Linked DNA regions of Arabidopsis thaliana. The protein of the gene in region 3 purifies or fractionates together with the protein of the main gene of each other region. This does not show direct contact. Each region holds a gene or a part of one and is shown on either strand. Other genes may lie near its edges.

Region 1 (4,557 bases), on a different chromosome or scaffold from region 3:
CCAGGGTTGTAGCCAGAGCAGCAAGTTTATCAAAATCCCGTCTATCTTTTTTCTCCCTGGAAATAACTTCTTGCTTTAAAGAATCTTTCAAAAGCATTGAAAATCTCTTATTCCAATCATCCAAGTCGGCACAGTGAAAGGTACCCTCCTGCTGCAAATTGATATGGTTCCAGTAGAAAGATAAAGGGATTTTTATAAAATGCTACTCGAGAGCAAATCGAAAACTAGAATCGCCATTGTAAGAGCATCAATCAAAAAGCTCAGAGATGCATGAAAAAAAGATGAAGAAGAAGTTAACCGGTTGGCGATCCTCGGAAACGCGGTCATCATAAGCGGAGACATAGCGAACTGGAGAGAGAGGAACAGGATTGAAGCCGTAATCGGAACCAAGGCGCTGGTGAGGCGGAACGTACAGCGAAGGAGGAAGACGATTCGTCATCGGAGCCAAATTCAAAACTCTAAACTCTCTCTACTGTAAGTCAAAAGTAAACTATAAAGAGGGAGAGAGATCTCCGCTGCTTCTTCTAACACTGAACTTGCAACTATGCCAATTTTACCTAATCGCCCTCCAAAAATTTTGTAAACTTAAAAGAAGAATTACACAATTTGGTTTTGCAGTCAAACAGTAATCAGTCTTTCTGAGAGGAAATATAGATTTAAGAGGATGTTTTCACGTTGCTCACATACATATATGATATGATCGTGACTCGTGACTGTCTTTCTTTCTCAGAGACAAAACAAAAAAGGGAAAAAAAAACAAAAGACAACAATGGTCCTTAATCCTTATTACGATCTCTGAAATTAACAAATCAGTAGGTGTAACCCTTGACAAACATTCCTTTCTTGGCATCCTCGTTCTCTCCCTCGGCTGAGTATTTGCCGAGCTGGGCCAGTGAGTTGGCCTTTGCCCTCACCAACAGTGCCTTCTGCGAGGCCTCAATCTTCTCCGGCTTGCCTTGCCATGTTCTGAGCACGGAGTTCTGCAGGGCACGTGCGTATGAGAAGGACACATGCCATGGGTTTGGGCTCTGGTTCATGGCGTTCAGGTTCAGTGTGGCCTCTGCCTCTGATTGTCCTCCTGACAGAAACATGATCCCTGGGACAGCCGGAGGAACCCTCCTTTTCAGCATGGTGAGCGTGAAATCTGCAACGGTCTCGGGAGAGGCCTTGTTCTTGTGCTCAGCGCCTGGGGTGACCATGCTCGGCTTCAACAGAATGCCCTCAAACATGACGTTGTTCTGTGCCAAGTAGAAGAACACCTCTGACCACACTTTCTCTGCCACCTCCAGAGTCCTCTCTATTGGGTGGTCCCCGTCCAGAAGGATCTCTGGCTCCACAATGGGGACAAGACCATTATCCTGAGAGATGGCTGCATAGCGAGCCAGCCCCCACGCAGCTTCCTTCACAGCCAGTGCTGAAGGACCGCAGGGAACACTCACCACTGTCCTCCTAGACAAACACACACAAACATCAAAACTAGGAAGAGCATTTTCACATCAAACCAAAGAGTTAATACCATATGTAAGATAACATGGTGAAATATATGACATACCACTTGGCAAAACGAGCGCCTTGCTTGTAGTACTCAGCAGAGCGTGAGGCCAATCCATCCAAGCCTTGGCACCAAGACTCTTCGTTGGAACCGGCTAGGGGAGACAAGCCCTACGCGGTGGATTGCATTGTCAACACTTCACTCAACACACATAAAAACTCAACTACTTATGATGATGATGACAGAATAAATGGATAAAAAATACCTTGTCAACTTTGATGCCAGGGACGATGTTGGCATCGCGCAAGCAATCGACAAAGGTCTTACCGTCCTTGGTGGACTGGTAAAGAGTCTCCTCGAAGAGAATGGAACCAGAGATGTAATCGCCGAGGCCAGGAGTGGTAAGCAGAAGTTGCCTGTAGGCCTGACGGTTGTCCTCGGTGTTATCCAAGCCGATAGAAGCAAGCCTCTTCCCACAGGTTGCATTGGACTCATCGATCGCCAAGATACCTCTCCCAGGGGATGCAATGCTTTTCTATTACGCAATAATCAGAGAATCTCACTCTACGTTTGACTTTGAGAATTACGGAAACGAATCCAAACTAATAAAGCATCAAAGAGAGAGAGAGGATAAGGAGGATACTCACGGCGGTTTTAACAAGCTCGTCGGAGTAAGCACCGGCGCGGATCGCGAAGGAGACTCGAGGAGGAGGAGAAGAAGAAGCAGAGGTGTGAGCAAAGGAGCGTTGGCCGATCCATGGAGAAGAGAGGGTGTTAGGCTTAACGAAGCTAGCAGACGCCATAGGTAGTACAAGGAAGGTACAAAAGTGATGGTGATCAATCTCTCGGGGACTCCGCGGGACAGAGACAGAGAGAGATCTGGGATTTGGAGGAGAGTGTTAAAGCCAAAGGTTTTGTTTACTACTATTAGTAGTCGTCTACTTTGGCATCACCTACTCCCACCACCAAAAAGCCTCCTTCTCTTTACCATTTTATTCCCCAATTTACCGTAAATGACGCTTTTAACCTTGAGGGAGATACTGGTAATTTTTTCTAGTAGTTCATCAGTCTCTCAACAACAAGAATCTGAGAATAACCAAAACTCTACCGTTTCGTCTACCCAAACTATCCTTCTCCTACCATTGCCTCTTCGTCTAACTCAATCGTTTTTCTTAATTAATCAAATTACATGACCTATCACCTCTTCAAGGAGTGTGATGAAAGAGAATGGGCCGGATATTCCCTTTTTTATCTGTTGGGCCACAATAGTAAACAACTTATATAACAGGCAAACTCTTTTACGTAATTGATTTTTGGGCCCAATAGTAATAGGGCTTAGTTTCAGATAAACAATAAGAGCCCACGACAGCTTTGGTGTTCTTGGGTCTTTTTCTTTTTTTTTTTCCTTTTTATTAAGGCAACCATCCAATAAGTCCAAATATTGGTGTTACTCGTAACAGGCGAGGAAGGTGTAAACAAGAAGAGAGAAAATGCAAGTTCCGAGAAACGTTATATATATGCGACATGAGAAAGTGGCAACTTTTTCTTTCTTGTATCTTACACTACTTTTTTGTATTTTTAAAGTATCTTTGATTTGATAACAGTTTTCTAAAACTGTTGGCCACAATTTAAATGCATATTCATATGTATGTTCAAATTTACAGCAACTCAGTTTGACCCCACAAAAAAAGGGAAAAACAACAACAAAATTCAAGACTATATGACTAAATATGTTCAAGTGCTTCAATTATATATTAGGTACAAGAATATGAATATAATGCCAATCTTATCTTAATCAGAGTAGGAACTAGTAATTTTCATATTTTAAGACAAGTTTGAAAGTTGTTTTAATTAAACATGCGTAAAGTTCCATTCTCTGCTCTCAGATGAATGGCATATCGATCATAATTCACCTAGTACTTCTTCTAGAGTGTTCTACGCTGCCTCTACGTATTAGAATATAGTATATGTAAAAGGTGTTGGTGCAGATCTTTGATTAACACTTTGGTCAGTCACATATCTAATGATTTTTAAACGATAAACCCCAAAACGCGTCTTCATACAGTTCACATGCATATGTCACCCAGAAGAATTGACTCTCAGATCTTTCTAGGTGTTTGTGTTCACACTTCGCCACGCTCTCTCTGTTAGAAACGATTTAAATATACAAACAAAGCTAGTCAGTGTTTCCCATTCGAAAAAAGAGAAAAGACAAAAGAGAGTGTGTTATTTGTCTTGTAATGAAACCTATTGAGTATGGTTGACTGGTTGGTGCGTAGGGAGAAGCAGAAGGTGATAGGACCACGTTGTTGTTTATTTGGCAATTCTTTTACAAGCCCTTGGTCCTGTTTTCTCCATCTTCTCTACTTCATTTGTCATTTTCATTGTTTACTTATTAAATTTACATCCATGTTAACTATTTTCATTTAAACAACAACGTACGTGGACCTATCGACTGATCATCCCTTGGTCGACAAACAATGATGGATCGGAACTTGATTTGGTTTTCTTGAGTTATGTGAAAAAGCATCGCATTATCAATTTTAACAACTTTTCTATAGCTCTTAATTCTGTCTAGCTAATAGACCTATAGTTTCTAAAACAAATACTATAGTCTTGCAAGCCGCATGCTACCTAATGCAGTATATATTTGGATAATTTCAAATTGTCTTTATTATTTCCTCATATTTTTATTTAATTATTTAGATAATTTTTATTTATTGTTTTATGAATTTTCTAAAATTTTGGATTTATTATAATTAAGACTTTTGAACTTAAAATTGTATTCAGTTAATTGATTAATAAAATTAAGCTTTTACCTTTTCAGAGAAGAGTATTCTCTAATTCCTTGCTTTCGGTAGATCTTGAAAGATTTCAACGGTTATAAAAAGATGTAGGATTCGGTATTCGAAGAGAATCAACGAATTCCTTACGTTCTCTCGTTTCTGTTATTCTGAGGAATCAACAGATCCAAAAAATTCTAGTTTTCTGGTATTCCGAGGAATCAACGGATGTCTAGTTCTATCCATTAAAACTTCCGCTACTTCAGTTGGTATCAAAGCTAG
Region 2 (5,480 bases), on a different chromosome or scaffold from region 3:
AACCTTAGTAGAAGACTGCGTTGTAATAACTGCAGTGCATCCATCACCAATTGTGAATTCACATGAAATCGAATCGCCCTACATAATTTGAACAAGAACTAGATTGATTCAAGCGCATCGATGGCAAATTCATTAATAAAGAGACAGAGAAATAGGGAAATACAGAGACAATGCCGCCACCATAAGTGATACTGTAAATCCAGACAACGTCAGTTCCAGCAGGAGCTGCCTGAAAGTTCAGTGTCGCCGGAACTTTAATAACTAAAGATTGAAAATTCGAAACTGTGAACTCTACGTAGAGAGAGAGAGGAGACCTTGCTAGGAAGTAAGAACTTGAGAGGATACTTCGAGAAGCAGCTCGTAGCTGTAGATCTTCCTCCCACTTTCTCCACCACCACTTTCCCTGTCGCCATCTCTGATCTCTCTCCACACTGTCGTCGACTTTCTCACTCCAGTTTGAGTAGAAATGTTGAATATTTTATATGCAAATCTCATCAGTTTCTGGATGTAGAGAAAGATATGATTTTGGGTGAAAAATGTCAAATTTATAAGTAGGAACAGCTCTCAGGTTCTAATCATACATAAACTCGAACGCAATCCAAATTAATGTTACAACAGTTTTATTTCCCACTCTTTGTGTTTTGTTTGGTGGGTTTTCTTCTTCAGAAACTCTCTTGGATGTGTTTATAAGAGCAAAACTGGAGGGATGTGTCCTTAATGGCGGAAATGTCTAACGTTGGTGAAGAGCAGAGAGACTCCATACTTTTTGCAGCAATCAATAGCGTCTTGGTCTCTAATACTGCCTCCAGGTTCTGCTATCACTCCTATTCCCATCTGGCACGCCTCTTCCACCGCATCTTTCCAAGCTGCAATTCACACAACAACAAATTTCCAATTCAGAACGGCTAACATTTGTTGATTGATGAGTCATTTCAGACAGAAGAATGGTTTCGGAGAGAAAAATATATATACCGAATGGGAAGAATGCGTCACTGGCCAAGGCAGCTCCTTTAGCTTCCTCCCCAGCTTTCTTGAAAGCTATTCTCAGACTCTCTACTCGGTTTGGCTGTCCGCTTCCCATCCCCAGCATACAATTGTTCTATGAGCCAACCCAAGAATCAGAATAAACTACTAGCAAACAAGTACAGAAAGAGAAACAAGAAAAGGAATCAGAGAGGAAAATCCAACCTTTGCTATCACAATGGCATTGCTCTTGACATGCTTAACGCAGAGCCAGGCAAATTTTGCATCCGCAAGTTCGCTTTCAGTCGGAGTTTTGTCTGAGACAGAATTGAAGCTGATGTCTTCTGGAGTTAAATCGTCCGAGTCCTGAGCCAACCAGCCGCCACCAACCTGTCTGAGCGATAGTTTCCCTTGGTCATTCTTTTTAGCTTCGAGGATCCTCAAAGTTTTTGATTTCCCTTTGAGGACTTCAAGACCTTTAGCAGTATACTTTGGAGCAACCACGATTTCATAAAACATTCTAGTTTCCCCGTCTGTTGGGCTCCTGAACTCTCGGATCTCCCTCGCAAGAACCTAGAGACAGTTACAGATCACTAAACAATTGAATAATGTATGGGACAACAGTAGTTTGACTTTTGATTACCTCGTCAACTTCAACATTGAAAGCTACAATGCCACCAAAGGCACTAACTGGGTCAGCTTTTACAGCTAGCCGGTAAGCCTCAAGAATATCATCACGAGAGGCCACACCACAAGGATTTGTATGCTTCACGACTACACATGTTGGGTTTTCAAATTCCGACACACAGTTCCATGCAGCGTCAGCATCAAGATAGTTGTTGTATGACATTTCCTGCTCACAGAAATAAATAGAAAAGTTAAACATAATAAGGCTTGAAAGCGAGGATAAGGATATAAATGGCAGTTTAAAACTATTTGCTCTGTAAATTACACCGGACAGAAAAAGTAGCATACTTTCTTACCTTTCCATGATGCTGAATCGCTGTTGCGATACCACCGGCATTCACTTCAGCAAGGCTCTTATCAACATAAAATGCAGCTTTTTGATGAGGATTTTCACCGTAACGAAGAGAACTCTTAAGTACAAGCGGAACTGTAAAGCTGGGAGGGAACTTCTCTTCTGAGAAAGACATGAATATCAATCAATGTAAGTTGCCAATTGCCATAACTAGTGTAAGGAGGATCACATAAAAACAATCACATACTTCCTTCAGTCTGCTTCCATAGCCATTCTGAAACCGCAGAATCATATGCAGCAACATGCTGAAAGGCCTTCCACGCAAGTTTTCTGCGGAATTGTTGGTCGCTCTGTCCTCCTTTGAGATACTCCAAAACAGCTTGATAATCTCCTGAATCGACAACAATGAGAACGTCTTTGTGGTTCTGTTGAAAAAACAATAGAAAATATACATTTATAATCTTGAAAATAATCTTGCAAGTGTAAAGAAAAAGTCTCATATGCACAGATATATGTATTACCTTAGCAGCTGCTCTAATCATAGCAGGGCCACCAATGTCAATGTTCTCAATCCCATCCTCAAAACTGATCCCACCTGGAGCAGTAACTTTTTCATAGAACGGGTACAAATTGACAACCACAACATCAAATGTACCTGTCATAGAATTAAAAAAAAAAAAGGTACAGTTAAACATAAGGAGACACTATAAATGACTTAGTCTCAAGCTTAATGTAGAGGATCAATCAAAGGTCAAAACTCACCAATCCCATGCTCATTAAGAGCTTCCATATGATGCTCCACATCCCTTCTAGCGAGGATACCACCATGTATGTTTGGATGCAAAGTTTTCACACGGCCATCAAGCTTTAAGAGAAGAAAAAAAAAAAGGAGAGCTAAGTTTAATATACTAAACTCAACAAAACAATGGTATAAACCAAAACTTAAATATAAATATCAGCGAGATCACAAGACCAAAACTTTTAGCAAGAGCAGCGAGCATAAGAGAAAAGAAAAACATGCCATTTCTGGAAAATGAGTAAGCTTCTCCACTTTGGTCACAGAGACTCCAGCATTCTCCAAAGTAGAGGCAGTTCCTCCAGTAGAAACAATAGTGTATCTACACAAATATCAATGAAAAAAGGAATCATTTACATATAAGATAGAAACAAAACCAAAATTTGTATAGTTCTAAGTAAGAGAGAGTTGTGAAGAACACATACCCCAATTCTTGCAGACCGTTGCCAAGAGAAGCCAAGTCCCTCTTGTCAGATAGAGATATCAAAGCTTGCTTCTCCCCTGATTCAATTAAAGCCCGATTATTTGAAAATCACTAAAACGTAACTGAAAATCGATCACTGAATTTGAAATTGCAGCAAAAAGAAAAATTGTAAACCAGAGGAGCCTGAGGATTGCGGCTGATTCCTCTGAGCAGTCTGAGACTCTGCCATGGCTCGAACAGCAACGAAACTTGGACACAGCGACGTACGATAGACCTGCTCATTGAAAATTCCACTAATATTAAAAAGTTTAGCAGAACATGAAACAAAGACACAAAGGAACACGTCCACACACAGAGGAGAACTCACAGGCTGAGTAAAACGAAAAGGCGCGACGGATTTTTTGCGAAACAAGCCGCAGAGAATATCGCCGGAGCGAGCACTCACGGAGGTGGCGGTGGCGGCTGAGCTGAGCATAGTAGTCTGATTTTGAAACAGTGTGTAGTGTTGAGCTCTGTTAGGTTTTGTGATTTTGCGGCTAATTTTGGAAATAAATTAGAAAAAAAAATAAAAAAAAAAGGAAAATATGTAATTTATTATTGGCGTCAGGTGGAATTATGTATTTATTATTATGGCCTTGACAGTTAGATTACACCTGGAATATTTGGAAAATTGGAATAAAGCTTCTCTTTTTATTTCCCCCAAAAATAAAACTAAACTATTTTAACTCCAAATTTTAAAAAATTTAGTAGAAACCAAAATTCTCAAGTGTAAACTAATTAGTAAGAAATAAAACTTTATTGGATCAGAGTGGTAATATTACAAAAGACTAACTATGGAGATGACGAAAGCTTCTTATGTTTTATATGATATTTTATTTGCTTTTCAGAATTTTAAATAATGTAAGTAGATAACAATTATTTTATTGGTAGGCATAATAGTTTTTTTCTCGAGAATATAGTTTTGTTTTTCGAATTGTCAAAATTAGAAGAGAGATTTTAAGGAAGGACTTGGCTTCTTCTCCTACTCATCGATCGTCAAACCGAGGACGCTTCACAGTCTCTGGTGCCGCCTTTCCTGGTATAAACCTTTTTCTCTACTTCTCTCCTTCTTTGCTTACTCGTCTTCCTTTTAGGTGTATGCTGTTTTTGAATTTTGATCATTATTATCGAAAATCTCTGGATCCGATGTGTTTCCACCTGAATTTCGGGTAATGATACTCAGATCTTGCATTTTCTAGAGTTTCAGTGGTTTTGATGGCTTGATCGGCTTTTGTTTTTTGGTTGGGTAGAGGTTTTTAGCTCAGTTTTTGGTTCGAAATGACGCTTATTTGTTTCCTTTTTGAGGTTTGGAATTGTTTCACGGACTTGATTGAATTTTGGATTTAGTTCTATGTTTTGATCTGTTGATTTACACTCTCTCAAAGTTACGATGGGTTTGCTAATAGTTTGGTGAAGTTGATCGATTTTAGTTTCAGCGATTCCTGTTAGTTTAAACTTGAAGAGACTAGAAAGTAGTCATTTTAGCTAGTTTCATGTTGGAAAGTATGCACAGTCAGATATTTGTACTGGATGATCTGTCCCTGCTAGAGTAAAGAGTTTTATTGGTTTGTATACCGAAAATGTTCCTTAAATAGTATGGTTTTCTGAGTTTTAGCCGTATGCTATTTTGGTTTTTTTGTTCTTGAATATGTTTGACTACTTGAGTAAAGTTACTCTTCTCCTATTTCAGGCACCTCAATGAGAGTTTGAGTTGTTCATGATAGAAGTCGTCCTGTTCTGCAGCCAAAACGTTAGAAATTTGCGAAGGATGCTTATGCAAAGATTTTACTTGGGTCATGATCATGATATGTCGCCTACAAGCGTTTGTGAGGGAGCTTATGAACTAGATAGATAGACACCTTGAGAAAGAAAACATGGATCAAGCAAAAGGTTATGAACATGTTCGGTATACTGCCCCTGACCCTAGAGATGAGGGACTTGGCTCCATTAATCAAAGGTTTTCCCACGACTCTTCAACTAATGTTAACACTTATGTACGACCTCCAGATTATGGTGTTTCAACCCCTGCTCGGCCAGTGCTAAACTACTCAATACAGACCGGTGAAGAATTTGCTTTTGAGTTTATGAGAGATAGGGTTATTATGAAACCGCAGTTCATCCCAAATGTGTATGGTGAGCACAGTGGTATGCCTGTTTCTGTTAACTTAAGTGCTCTGGGAATGGTTCATCCAATGTCAGAGAGTGGCCCTAACGCTACAGTGCTTAACATAGAAGAAAAACGTCAGAGCTTTGAGCACGAGAGGAAACCCCCTTCTAGA
Region 3 (6,063 bases):
CTTTTAGCCGCCGCGTTTGATTTGCTTAGCACAGTCACATCATTCAAAACAATAGGAAGCACATCTAGCAACACTTTCCGGCTAGCAGTCTGCCAACATGAGTAGACATATTAGATCCAGATGCAAATTGGAACAGGTTAAGTAATAGAAACCAGTAATATTTCTACAAGATACAAAACAGATAAGTCAAATTGATTATGTACTTTACAGACATCTATATATGTTTGACGTGTTAAGTATGGACCAAAGTTAAAACAAAGAGAATTCCAGGTTACAAACAGAATAAACCTTAAAAATGGCAGATAGAGCTTCCATTACACCAAGCAAGCGAAAGTGGTTCGTGACACTATCTTCCTTACAAGACAAAACTTCATATGTCCACTCAAAAAAGCTGAAACGGAAATGCCACAATAGAATAAAGAAAATTAGTTAATCCATTCACGGTGAGTAAATTGTACATGTTACAATTGAAAACAGCAGTTTAGAAACAATCTTAAGTGTTCAAAGTGAAACAACACTGAAGCACTGATGGTGGTAGGAACAGACCTCGAAAAAGCTTTTCCCATATCCGGACGAGTTAAAAGCTTAGAGAGTAGCAACCCCGATATCCTGCGCATTGGTCCAGCACTGCACAGATAGTCCTTACAGAAACCTAATATCTTCAATACCAAAGGAGCAAGGTCATCCACACCAAAGGTCTTGTCATCAGCAATGCTTGTATCAACAGAAGAAATATCAAACGGAACCAACACAAGGATTGAAAGCCACAAAAGAGTAACACATTTGGCCTCCATTTCTCCAGTGCTTTCTTGCCTCAAGGCAGAAACAGAATTTGTACTATGGCACTTCTCGAGGAGCAAAACGGCGAGTTCCAGATCGGATACTTGATGCGGAAAGAACTTGATAACAGCTTTGTACCCACATACAGTAACTAAAGCATAGATAATGATGCTTATTGGCTTAATAATCTCAAGAATTTCATCAGGTTTGGCCTCTAAATCAACTGTTTTGGAGCGGATGATAAACATTAATGGAGAAACTATACTCTCTAAGTAAGGTTCCACTAATTGACCTTGCTCCTGGTATTTATCCATCTACAATACAACAAAACAAAGTCGGAGAAAGTAAATCAACATGATACTGAAACATGGGTTGGATCAAGTAGATGAAGTCAAAAGACTAAGAAGCGTACAATGGATCGGATCTTATGAACAGAAGTAGGATCAACAACACGGCCATTTGAAACAATATCATCGAGAAGAGATTTAACGAGCTTCCATTCTTGTAAAAAATACCTCTGTAGAACTCTCTCCTTAGAATCATGCTCATCGTCTTCTTCCTCTTCAATTTTTACCGCCGTTTCGATTTCGATCTTCGTCGGCGACATTTCCTCTGCTCTAGATGCCATTACTGGAAAGAGAAAGGGGTTCAATAAATTCCCGCCCGCCGATAATACTCTCAGTGTAGAACCACCGGCAAATCACGAGATCGGTGACGTCGACGATGAGTTTACATGTTAAGGCCCATAGTAATTTATTGGGCCTATATACCCATGTTCCTATTTTGGGCCTATAACCTTCCTCAATGTAGCTTCGTTGGTCTAGATTTTCCATCTTTGGGTGCTTTTATAAACCGGCTTAACCAGAGTTGGTAGGCTTGATACTTGAATCTCTTTCTGGTTTTGTATATTCAAGAATAAGCAAACATTTCCTTAAAAATAACTTTTTTTTTGTCGTACCTCATTTTAAAAAAGATATTTTATCCTATTTCATTATGGCGGAATATCCAAAGAACAAAAAATGGTAGTAATAAAAATAGCGAAAGGCATAGAGGATCACTAAACTCTTAGCCTTAATCAGCGGTCAAGATTATACCTTTTAGTGAGATCCAACGGTCATATTTGATCCAAGTTGTCCCTTAGTGAAAACGAAGAGATGGCGAAATTTTGTTTGATTGGCTAAAAATCAACACACTGATAAAATAAGAGTTGCAGAGAGAGTCTCTCATCTTCTTCATTTCTTCACCACCATCATCACACACCTTCTTCTTCTTCTTCTTCTCTCTCTATCACAAGAGAGTCAAATCCATGGCTTCTACTTCTTCCCTCGCTCTCTCTCAAGCTCTCCTAGCTCGTGCAATCTCTCACCATGGTTCTGACCAACGTGGATCTTTACCAGCTTTCTCTGGACTCAAATCCACCGGTTCACGCGCCTCAGCTTCGTCTCGTCGACGTATCGCTCAATCCATGACCAAAAACCGATCTCTCCGTCCTCTTGTTCGCGCTGCAGCTGTTGAGACTGTTGAGCCAACCACTGATTCGTCGATTGTGGACAAATCGGTCAACTCGATTAGGTTTTTGGCTATCGATGCGGTGGAGAAGGCCAAATCAGGTCATCCTGGTCTTCCTATGGGTTGTGCTCCGATGGCTCACATTTTGTATGATGAGGTCATGAGGTATAACCCCAAGAACCCTTATTGGTTCAACCGTGACCGATTCGTTCTATCTGCTGGACATGGATGTATGTTGCTCTACGCGTTGCTTCATCTTGCCGGCTACGACAGCGTCCAGGTCTGTGATCTCTTCTCTGTTTAATTGCTTTCGATCTGATCGTAATTGATGAATGTAGTAACTTTAGTGGATAGATTGAATCTGTTTTGATATTCATCTGATGGCTGCTTGAAGTAGATTCACTGAAAAGGTGTTTGGATTTGTTTATTAGGAGGAAGATTTGAAGCAGTTCCGTCAATGGGGAAGCAAGACACCAGGACATCCTGAGAATTTCGAGACTCCTGGAATTGAAGTCACTACTGGTTTGAGATTTTGCTTCTTTTGGCTTATGGTTCATGTGAAATTTCACAGAAACTATCTATAACTGTATTTACAATTGTGCTCTCTGCTTTGGCTGCTATGCAGGTCCTCTTGGACAAGGAATCGCTAATGCTGTTGGTTTAGCTCTTGCTGAGAAGCATTTGGCTGCTAGATTCAACAAACCTGATGCTGAAGTAGTCGACCACTACACGTAATATATATAACCCATAGTTATGTTGTCGTTCTTGGTTTGTATATAGCTCTGATAATAGAAATACTGTTTTTGATTGATTGTCTAGATATGCGATCCTTGGAGATGGTTGTCAGATGGAGGGTATTTCTAATGAAGCTTGCTCTCTAGCTGGCCATTGGGGACTTGGAAAGCTCATTGCTTTCTACGATGACAATCACATTTCTATAGATGGAGACACAGAAATTGCCTTCACTGAGAACGTGGACCAGCGATTTGAAGCCCTTGGATGGCATGTTATCTGGGTGAAGAATGGAAACACTGGGTATGACGAGATCCGTGCTGCCATTAAGGAAGCTAAAACTGTTACTGACAAGCCTACTTTGATCAAGGTAACTACACAATTTCTTAACCATCAAACATCGGTTGGTCTAAAGACCTTTGATATTGATTTACCATATTGCGTAATCCAGGTCACTACTACCATTGGTTATGGGTCTCCCAACAAGGCGAACTCATACAGTGTCCATGGAGCTGCACTTGGCGAGAAGGAAGTTGAGGCTACCAGAAATAACCTTGGATGGCCGTATGAGCCGTTCCAGGTACCTGACGATGTAAAAAGGTTAGTAAATCCAAAGCAGGCTTATGTTTGGTTTTATTGCTTTGAAGTTGCCTTGATGACTTACTGTTTGACTTGCACTTCTCTAGCCACTGGAGTCGTCATACACCTGAAGGAGCTACTCTTGAATCTGACTGGAGTGCAAAGTTTGCAGCATATGAAAAGAAGTACCCAGAGGAAGCTTCTGAGTTGAAATCTATTATCACTGGTGAATTACCTGCTGGCTGGGAGAAGGCTCTACCTGTAAGTAGAACTCTCTTTGCATTCTGTACAATTCAATTGGTATTCTAGATATGAGTTATAGAACATCTTTCTTTTTCCTTTTTTAGACATACACACCAGAGTCTCCAGGTGATGCCACCAGAAACCTGTCACAGCAATGTCTTAACGCCCTTGCTAAAGTTGTTCCCGGTTTCCTTGGTGGAAGTGCTGACCTTGCATCATCCAACATGACATTGCTGAAAGCCTTTGGCGACTTCCAAAAGGCCACACCTGAAGAAAGAAATCTTAGGTTTGGTGTTAGGGAGCACGGAATGGGAGCCATCTGCAATGGCATTGCCCTTCACAGCCCCGGTCTTATCCCTTACTGTGCGACGTTCTTTGTCTTCACCGACTACATGAGAGGTGCCATGAGAATCTCAGCTTTGTCTGAAGCTGGTGTTATCTATGTTATGACCCATGATTCCATTGGTCTTGGAGAAGATGGACCAACCCATCAGCCCATTGAGCACATTGCAAGTTTCCGTGCTATGCCCAACACTCTTATGTTCCGTCCTGCTGATGGAAATGAAACAGCCGGTGCATACAAGATCGCTGTCACCAAGCGCAAGACACCATCTATCTTAGCTCTGTCTAGGCAAAAGCTGCCTCATCTTCCAGGTACATCCATCGAAGGAGTGGAAAAGGGTGGATATACAATTTCTGACGACTCTTCAGGCAACAAACCCGATGTGATCTTGATTGGAACTGGTTCTGAGCTAGAGATTGCTGCACAGGCTGCGGAGGTGCTCAGGAAAGACGGCAAAACCGTTAGAGTTGTTTCTTTCGTGTGCTGGGAACTATTTGACGAGCAATCAGATGAATACAAGGAGAGTGTGTTGCCATCGGATGTATCAGCTAGAGTTAGCATTGAAGCAGCTTCGACTTTCGGATGGGGAAAGATTGTTGGAGGCAAAGGAAAGTCCATTGGTATTAATTCATTCGGAGCCAGCGCACCAGCACCCTTACTCTACAAGGAGTTTGGTATCACCGTTGAAGCTGTTGTTGATGCGGCCAAGTCATTCTTCTAAGAGATTTAAGATCGGACCATTCTCTCTGAGGGGGTTTTGTCTGAAACTTGATTTGGAAACAAGGCTATTCACAACATTGTCTCATATCTCGAAATAAAGTGCAACAAGACACAAAGACTTTCACTTTCTTTTTTGTTTTTGTTTTTTGTACTTCAGGTCAAGATAGGTTTTCGGTTTGAGAAGAGAAACAAATTAGAAAGACAATGTAAAACTCCCATGATCATTCGTGTAATGCTAAATGCTTGAATTTCAGCAAAACTTTCTAGCATTTGTTTCTTGGGGTGTAGACTAAATTACCTACATAAGCAGACATAAGCATTGGGTGGACAAGAGAAAACAGGGTTTGGTTCTTCTTTAAGGTATATCTACATTTGGGGGCCCTATTTATCCATATTGAAGGAATGGTGAAGTTTCTACCTTGAGATATCCAAATATCCATATCTCTGGGGGTTTTATCTGAAACTTGATCTGGAAACAAGGCTATTCACAAGAGTGTCTTATATCTCAAAATAAAGTACAACAAGACGCAAAGACTTTCACCTTTTTTTTTTGTTTATTGTAATTTGGGTCAACTAAGGTTTTGGCCTTTTGGGTTTGAGAAGAGAAACGATTTAGAAAGACAATGTAAAACTCCCACTATCATTCGTGTAATGTTAAATGCTTGAATTTCAGCAAACTTCCTAGCAATTGTTTCTTTGGTGTAGACTAAAATGACCTACATAAACAGAGATACGCATTGGGTGGACAAGAGAAATTAGGGTTTGGTTCTTCTTAAGGTACGTTTACGTATATCTACATTTAGGGTCCATAATTATCATAAGAGGAGATATTGAAGGAATGGTCATGTTTCTTCTACCTTGGCATATCCAAATATCCATGTACTAAGCCTAACAACTAACAAGAGATGAAGAAAGCTACGCTTGTCACTCGTCAATTTGTCATTACTCATCACTCATCAGTGACGACAACACAAGTAGGACCCACTACTTGTTGGCATCCCAACATTATAGTATGCTTCAACAGTAAAGAGTATATTCAGATTCCCTTTTTGTTCCGATAGTTAATGGGCTATAGGCCCAGTAAAGCACAATACTGTCCAATGGAATTAAACTCTAGGCCTAGTTAATGACACTAATTTGTAGCTCCCATGCACGTG
Region 4 (6,214 bases), about 14 Mb from region 3:
GAACACAGCTTTCAGAGAGATAGAGTGAGATTCTCCTTCATTAACATATTCTTCTTCATGTTATAAGAAGAAGAAGAAGAAGTGTCCAAAAGGATTAGAGATGGGTGGATGCACAAGCAAGCAAGAGAGGAGAGGTGTGAGAAGTGTGAAGGAGACATCAAAAGACCAAAGCAGAGGAAGAAGACACCTGATAAAAGAGAGAGATGAGAGAGAGAAAGTGATGTTTCTTCAGCTTAAAGAGGCGGAGAGAGAGTGGAGAAAAGAGAGGAAGAAGCTGAGAGAGGAAGTGAGAAGACTAAGGAAGAAGCTAGAGGAAAGAGAAGAAGCAAAGACAACAACAACAGAGGAAAGAGAGTATTGGAAGTGGGTGGTTGAGGAGATGTGTGTAGAGAGAGCAGTGAGAGATGAAGCCGTTGAGAAATGGAAACAACTCTATTTAGCTATCAAGAATGAGCTTGATCATCTCATCTCCCACACTACTTCTTCCTCCGGTAAAATAAACTCAACTTATTTCAACTTAAAATTAGAAAAAGTAAATAGGATCTTTAAAGTGTGTGTTTGTAGGAGAAGCAATCATGCAAAGGAAACTTGAGGAACAAGAAGAAGAAGAAACAGAAGCAAAGAGAGTTGAAGTATTGAGAGATGAAGTTAGAGTTAAAGAAGAGACAGTTGAGACACTTGAAGAGCAAATAGTTTTGATGGATAGACAAAAGTATGAGAAAGAAAGAGAGATTGACTTATTGAGACAGAGTCTAAGGATTCTTGGAAGCAAGAAGAAAAAGAAGACAGGATCATTCGCATCAATGAATCTGTTGATATTGAAGACCAAATGTGTCGAATGTACATAAACACTTTTTACTCAAATAGTCTTCTGCAAACAGTCATATCTCGTCAGAGAATCTTGATCCACAATGTCATATTTATTTCTCTTTTGGTTATTTTACAATTTTTATTTTGGAAATATAGTAAATCATAGCACTATGAGTTCAAAAAGCACATGTCCCATGAAAGATTTGCACAAATCGTTTTTTTTTTTTTTTGTTGGAGTTAGATACAATTCTTTAGCAATAATGATAATGAACCATTTTTCCAAAGAACAGAAACTGTGGAAAAAAACTTACTAGACACTAAAAGTCTAAAACACCACTTGCTTTTTTATAGCCCAAGAAACTTCTAGTTCTAATTAAGAATGTCCAACTTCCGGTTCGGTTACTGAAAATTATCAAATTTTTGTTAGATGAGATAAAGAAGTGAATCCTACAAGAAATATATCATGTGGTTCGGTTTGGTACAATTTTGATTTCTGCTAGGGTTTTATCCTTTTTAGCAAAATTTACTTTAATTTCCGTAGTAAAAAAGAAGAAGTTTTAGTTGGTTTATTTCTTATTTTTGCTTCGATTACGGCATTTAATTTTAGCAATATTTCATTAACAAAAAAAAACAATTCTAATTGGTTTATTTCTACTTCTTTTTCTGTCTTGGTTTGATCTCTATTACTATATTGATTATGAAAAAAATATGAAACCAAAACCATTTATTATGTCTTCAATTCCATTTTTAACCCAATTATTTCACTACAATTGTAATAACCGGTTATTGCACCCCTAATTATAACTATTTAAGCAATCGCATATACCAAACCAGCGAGTTAAACCAAATTGTTTCCCAAATTATGCTAAACGACAGCGTTTTCACAAATTACCAAAAAAACCTATTTTTCTGTATCTATCTGAATTCAGAGTCCTGACCATTTTATCTCACTCTCACAAAGTCTTCACTTTTGAAGTGTCTCCTCCACACGCACTGCGCCGCCAAAAAACCCTTCTTTAAACCCTTTCCTCCTCGCGCCGTCATGCAAGCCACCATCTTCTCTCCACGCGCCACTCTCTTCCCCTGTAAACCTCTCCTCCCTTCCCACAATGTCAACTCTCGCCGTCCCTCAATCATCTCCTGCTCCGCCCAATCCGTAACCGCTGATCCTTCACCACCTATCACTGACACCAATAAGCTCAACAAATACAGCTCAAGAATCACTGAACCCAAATCCCAAGGTGGGTCTCAAGCAATTCTTCACGGTGTTGGTTTATCAGACGACGATTTGCTAAAACCCCAGATTGGTATCTCGTCGGTTTGGTATGAAGGGAACACTTGTAACATGCATTTGCTGAAATTGTCTGAGGCTGTGAAAGAAGGAGTTGAAAATGCAGGAATGGTTGGGTTTAGGTTTAATACTATTGGTGTGAGTGATGCTATTTCGATGGGAACGAGAGGGATGTGTTTTAGTTTGCAATCTAGGGATTTGATTGCTGATAGTATTGAGACTGTTATGAGTGCTCAGTGGTATGATGGTAACATATCTATTCCCGGTTGTGATAAAAATGTGAGTTTTTTTTTTTTAATCATCGATCTTTGTGTTGTCTTTATCTCCATGTTTTATGTGATTTGTTTGCTATAATGTTATTGTTGTAATACTTTTAGATGCCTGGAACTATTATGGCTATGGGAAGGCTTAACAGACCAGGGATTATGGTTTATGGTGGAACCATTAAGGTACTTACTTTTATCAAATTGATGAGAAGATAGTTTCTTAAACCCTAAACCCTTGTGCCTAGTTGGATAGCCTATTCACCTTGCTTTGATATTATTGCAGCCTGGCCATTTTCAAGACAAGACATATGACATTGTATCTGCTTTCCAGGTATCTTTTCTTCTATCTGCTACGAGCTTGGTTATAACAATTTTAATGTGTATTTATGAGACTTCATTGAGTTTTCCAATTTTGGGATTGAGTTACAGAAATCTTGGTGACTTTGGTGTCAAATTGTACCAGTACTTGTGGGATTCATCATGTTTTCCAATTTTGTATTTCAGAGTTATGGAGAATTTGTTAGTGGCTCCATAAGTGATGAACAGAGAAAGACTGTCCTCCATCATTCATGTCCTGGAGCTGGAGCCTGTGGTGGCATGTACACAGCGAATACAATGGCTTCTGCTATCGAAGCAATGGGAATGTCCCTTCCTTACAGGTGAGGCTTTCAGTCCTGAAGACCACATTTATAAATCAACTTCAAACGTTTTCCCAGATTTGTGCTTAATAGAAAGTTATTTCCACAAGAACATTGTAGATCCTAAACTGTAATTGTGGAATGCTTATTTCAAAAGTTCATATATTTGCTTCTTCTTTTTTTTTTGAAGTTCTTCAATACCTGCTGAAGACCCATTGAAGTTGGACGAGTGTCGCTTAGCAGGAAAATATCTTCTAGAATTGCTAAAGATGGACTTAAAACCCCGTGACATTATCACTCCAAAATCACTTCGTAATGCAATGGTTTCCGTCATGGCCCTTGGGGGATCGACAAATGCAGTATTGCATCTAATTGCTATTGCAAGGTGACAGATTGTTATGATGTTTCTTATTATTACCATGGAAAGCAATGGACCGAAGTAATGAATGGAAATGATTTCAGGTCTGTTGGTTTGGAGTTGACTCTTGACGATTTTCAGAAAGTTAGCGATGCGGTTCCATTTCTAGCAGATCTTAAACCCAGTGGGAAGTATGTTATGGAGGATATACATAAGGTAAGGCTTTGGCGAAATCGTTTTGCTTATTACTTATCTGTTTTTTTATTGGTCAGTTTGTAAGTTTTGTTGTTTAATCTACAGATAGGTGGTACGCCAGCTGTTCTCCGCTATTTATTAGAGCTAGGATTGATGGATGGTGATTGTATGACAGGTAGAAATGCTCAAACATTTTATAAACTGACTTAGCAATTTGGATTGATGTGAAATGGCATAACTACGCTTTTGTATCTCTACCAGTGACAGGGCAGACTTTGGCTCAAAATTTAGAAAACGTCCCAAGCTTAACAGAAGGGCAGGTATTTGTAATGTTATTAGTTATCTCATTAGATTCTACCGCCTGTTTCTTCTTGATTATGATGGTTGTTAGTTATACAGGATTCTAATTAATTCTGATAATGTTCCAGGAGATAATTAGACCTCTGTCAAATCCAATCAAGGAGACTGGACACATACAAATTTTGAGAGGAGACCTTGCACCAGATGGTTCTGTAGCAAAAATTACCGGCAAAGAGGGCTTATATTTCTCTGGTAATGTTGGTTCACTCTAGTACCTCCTTTACACTCCATATTTAGCTAATGCTTCTGAATATTAGGGCTTATATGATGGAACTATTTATTTTAGGTCCTGCACTTGTATTTGAAGGAGAGGAATCTATGTTGGCTGCTATATCAGCAGACCCAATGAGTTTTAAGGTAATTTCCTTTCTGATATGAAGTTCATCTCAGGAGCTGGTTATATATCTTTTATCTGATGAAATGTATCGTGTTTCAGGGAACTGTGGTTGTTATCAGAGGAGAGGGGCCTAAAGGAGGTCCAGGTATGCCTGAGATGTTGACACCGACAAGTGCAATAATGGGTGCCGGTCTTGGAAAGGTATGATATGACCAGTATGACTGGGTTAGTGAGACATTTATTAAGTCTGATCAATTTTTATGTTCTAAATTAAAGAACTCGTTATTTTTCCTTTGATATGGTCTGACTATATTATGCTTATGGTAGTGACCTAAATCTTTTTATCTACTTTGTCCATATCCGAGAACACACCTTATATAAAGTGCCAATATGTTGCTATTGGGTGATGCAGGAATGTGCATTACTGACTGATGGTAGGTTCTCTGGTGGGTCACACGGTTTTGTTGTTGGCCACATTTGCCCTGAAGCTCAGGTCTCTCTCTCTCCCTTTTTTTTTTCTCTCTGCCCACTGGCTCCATCAGAGCAAAATTCTAAATTTTGCACTTGCAAGATAAATTTGATAGATCCATGTCCCTCTTCTGGGATATTTTTCTTGTGTATTGAAAAATAAATGCTACTGGGTCATAGTCATATATAGTTTTAGCAAAAAGGAACAAGGGTCAAGGGATCCTGTAATAGTTTGTGGTGGCTCTTATGCAGTTATGATGATTTTGGAATATTTCAAATAATAAAACTGATATTAATGTGATTGGAGAATGTGAAGATAATAATGCTGAAAGCAATTCTCCGGTGTGCTTACTATTTATCTGTGCAGGAGGGTGGTCCGATCGGTCTGATCAAGAACGGAGACATAATCACCATTGACATAGGAAAGAAGAGAATAGACACACAAGTCTCACCCGAAGAAATGAATGACCGTAGAAAGAAATGGACTGCTCCTGCATACAAGGTTAACCGCGGAGTCCTATATAAGGTACTATACGAATCCACTTGTATCTATATAATGTATGTCTCTTTGACATCTGATGGATTAGTTTCTAATGAATGGTTTATGATATTCTAAAAACAGTACATCAAGAACGTGCAATCGGCTTCAGATGGATGTGTGACTGACGAGTAAAGTGAACGATCTAAGAGAGAGTTTTGTGAATGAGCAGCAGAATGTAGTGTACGTTCATGAGGGAATTTGTAAGTTTATTTATTGTAGCTTCTAGATCATGTTACTTTGTGACTGATCATTAGCTATTTGCAGGGTTCGTTTTTAAGATTTTGTTTCTCTTAAATGTCAAAATAAAAACTTGTGATTGTGGCCGAATTCCAAAGAATATAAAGACAGAATAAAGACGGATTTGCATAAATACTTGTCTATGAGATTGAACTTAAGAGCCAATGTGGCAAACCAGCTATGCGTGAATAAGCTTGACGTTCTCTACATGGTTTAGAAAGATGTGAAATCCACTAACCTTAAAGGCTTGGGTTCCTTGGATTTCAAGTCTTTTCATCGTCTTTCTCTCGTTTCTGTAGGAGACAACATAAGGGTCATAAGAATAGTAAAACTCGAGCATGGTAATTAATATTTGATTCGACCAATTTATATCAAGGTGCAAGTATTTGTCTCAAAGGCTCGAGCATGACATCTCACAGAATTGTAAAATCATTCACATTTGAAATTTGATATCAAACTTAAAACAGAATCAATATAAACTAATTAGAAGGCTGTGGACGAGGGAGACGGGACAACCAACGAGGGAGAACATACTGTGAAGCGAGGAGAAGGTTAGGACCACCTTGAAACGATGGGGAAAAGTATCTATGAACGGTCTCCATATACTCGTTGCACCAGTTAAAGCTCAAGGTGCAACCATCCATACACTTCCTCTCGTCTTCGGATTCCTTGTGAAGACTAAACACATGCGTCCTCAAGTTAAACAAGACCAT

Evidence for each region.
Region 1: the proteins of AT3G60750 (region 3) and PDE345 fractionate together in Arabidopsis thaliana (co-fractionation; one large-scale study listed by BioGRID). This does not show direct contact.
Region 2: the proteins of AT3G60750 (region 3) and AT2G35040 fractionate together in Arabidopsis thaliana (co-fractionation; one large-scale study listed by BioGRID). This does not show direct contact.
Region 4: the proteins of AT3G60750 (region 3) and AT3G23940 fractionate together in Arabidopsis thaliana (co-fractionation; one large-scale study listed by BioGRID). This does not show direct contact.

The regions. Positions count from the first base shown.
Region 1 is NC_003071.7:94,197-98,753, forward strand, and holds PDE345 (Aldolase superfamily protein), read right to left. Parts: upstream 2,668-4,557; 5' UTR 2,296-2,667; coding exon 2,140-2,295; intron 2,028-2,139; coding exon 1,758-2,027; intron 1,663-1,757; coding exon 1,553-1,662; intron 1,450-1,552; coding exon 810-1,449; 3' UTR 531-809; downstream 1-530. Other genes in the region: AT2G01130 (DEA(D/H)-box RNA helicase family protein), read right to left, coding at 1-151, 299-439. UniProt on the Arabidopsis thaliana protein: Plays a key role in glycolysis and gluconeogenesis.
Region 2 is NC_003071.7:14,764,633-14,770,112, forward strand, and holds AT2G35040 (AICARFT/IMPCHase bienzyme family protein), read right to left. Parts: upstream 3,687-5,480; 5' UTR 3,638-3,686; coding exon 3,530-3,637; intron 3,456-3,529; exon of another isoform or gene 3,437-3,455; coding exon 3,337-3,436; intron 3,240-3,336; coding exon 3,164-3,239; intron 3,061-3,163; coding exon 2,964-3,060; intron 2,808-2,963; coding exon 2,705-2,807; intron 2,598-2,704; coding exon 2,464-2,597; intron 2,368-2,463; coding exon 2,190-2,367; intron 2,105-2,189; coding exon 1,947-2,104; intron 1,817-1,946; coding exon 1,607-1,816; intron 1,537-1,606; coding exon 1,189-1,536; intron 1,100-1,188; coding exon 973-1,099; intron 867-972; coding exon 715-866; 3' UTR 513-714; downstream 1-512. Other genes in the region: URED (urease accessory protein D), read right to left, coding at 4-78, 164-229, 315-413; AT2G35050 (kinase superfamily with octicosapeptide/Phox/Bem1p domain-containing protein), read left to right, coding at 5,076-5,480.
Region 3 is NC_003074.8:22,451,918-22,457,980, forward strand, and holds AT3G60750 (Transketolase), read left to right. Parts: upstream 1-1,750; 5' UTR 1,751-2,086; coding exon 2,087-2,569; intron 2,570-2,720; coding exon 2,721-2,811; intron 2,812-2,914; coding exon 2,915-3,020; intron 3,021-3,108; coding exon 3,109-3,391; intron 3,392-3,472; coding exon 3,473-3,621; intron 3,622-3,707; coding exon 3,708-3,861; intron 3,862-3,947; coding exon 3,948-4,907; 3' UTR 4,908-5,541; downstream 5,542-6,063. Other genes in the region: TTN1 (ARM repeat superfamily protein), read right to left, coding at 1-89, 289-391, 547-1,094, 1,193-1,408. UniProt on the Arabidopsis thaliana protein: Catalyzes the reversible transfer of a two-carbon ketol group from fructose-6-phosphate or sedoheptulose-7-phosphate to glyceraldehyde-3-phosphate to yield xylulose-5-phosphate and erythrose-4-phosphate or ribose-5-phosphate, respectively.
Region 4 is NC_003074.8:8,646,928-8,653,141, forward strand, and holds AT3G23940 (dehydratase family), read left to right. Parts: upstream 1-1,741; 5' UTR 1,742-1,852; coding exon 1,853-2,380; intron 2,381-2,478; coding exon 2,479-2,550; intron 2,551-2,650; coding exon 2,651-2,698; intron 2,699-2,871; coding exon 2,872-3,026; intron 3,027-3,195; coding exon 3,196-3,390; intron 3,391-3,467; coding exon 3,468-3,579; intron 3,580-3,663; coding exon 3,664-3,733; intron 3,734-3,819; coding exon 3,820-3,878; intron 3,879-3,986; coding exon 3,987-4,110; intron 4,111-4,204; coding exon 4,205-4,275; intron 4,276-4,354; coding exon 4,355-4,456; intron 4,457-4,667; coding exon 4,668-4,748; intron 4,749-5,090; coding exon 5,091-5,249; intron 5,250-5,345; coding exon 5,346-5,396; 3' UTR 5,397-5,678; downstream 5,679-6,214. Other genes in the region: AT3G23930 (troponin T, skeletal protein), read left to right, coding at 101-491, 565-848; AT3G23950 (F-box family protein), read right to left, coding at 5,981-6,214. UniProt on the Arabidopsis thaliana protein: Functions in the biosynthesis of branched-chain amino acids.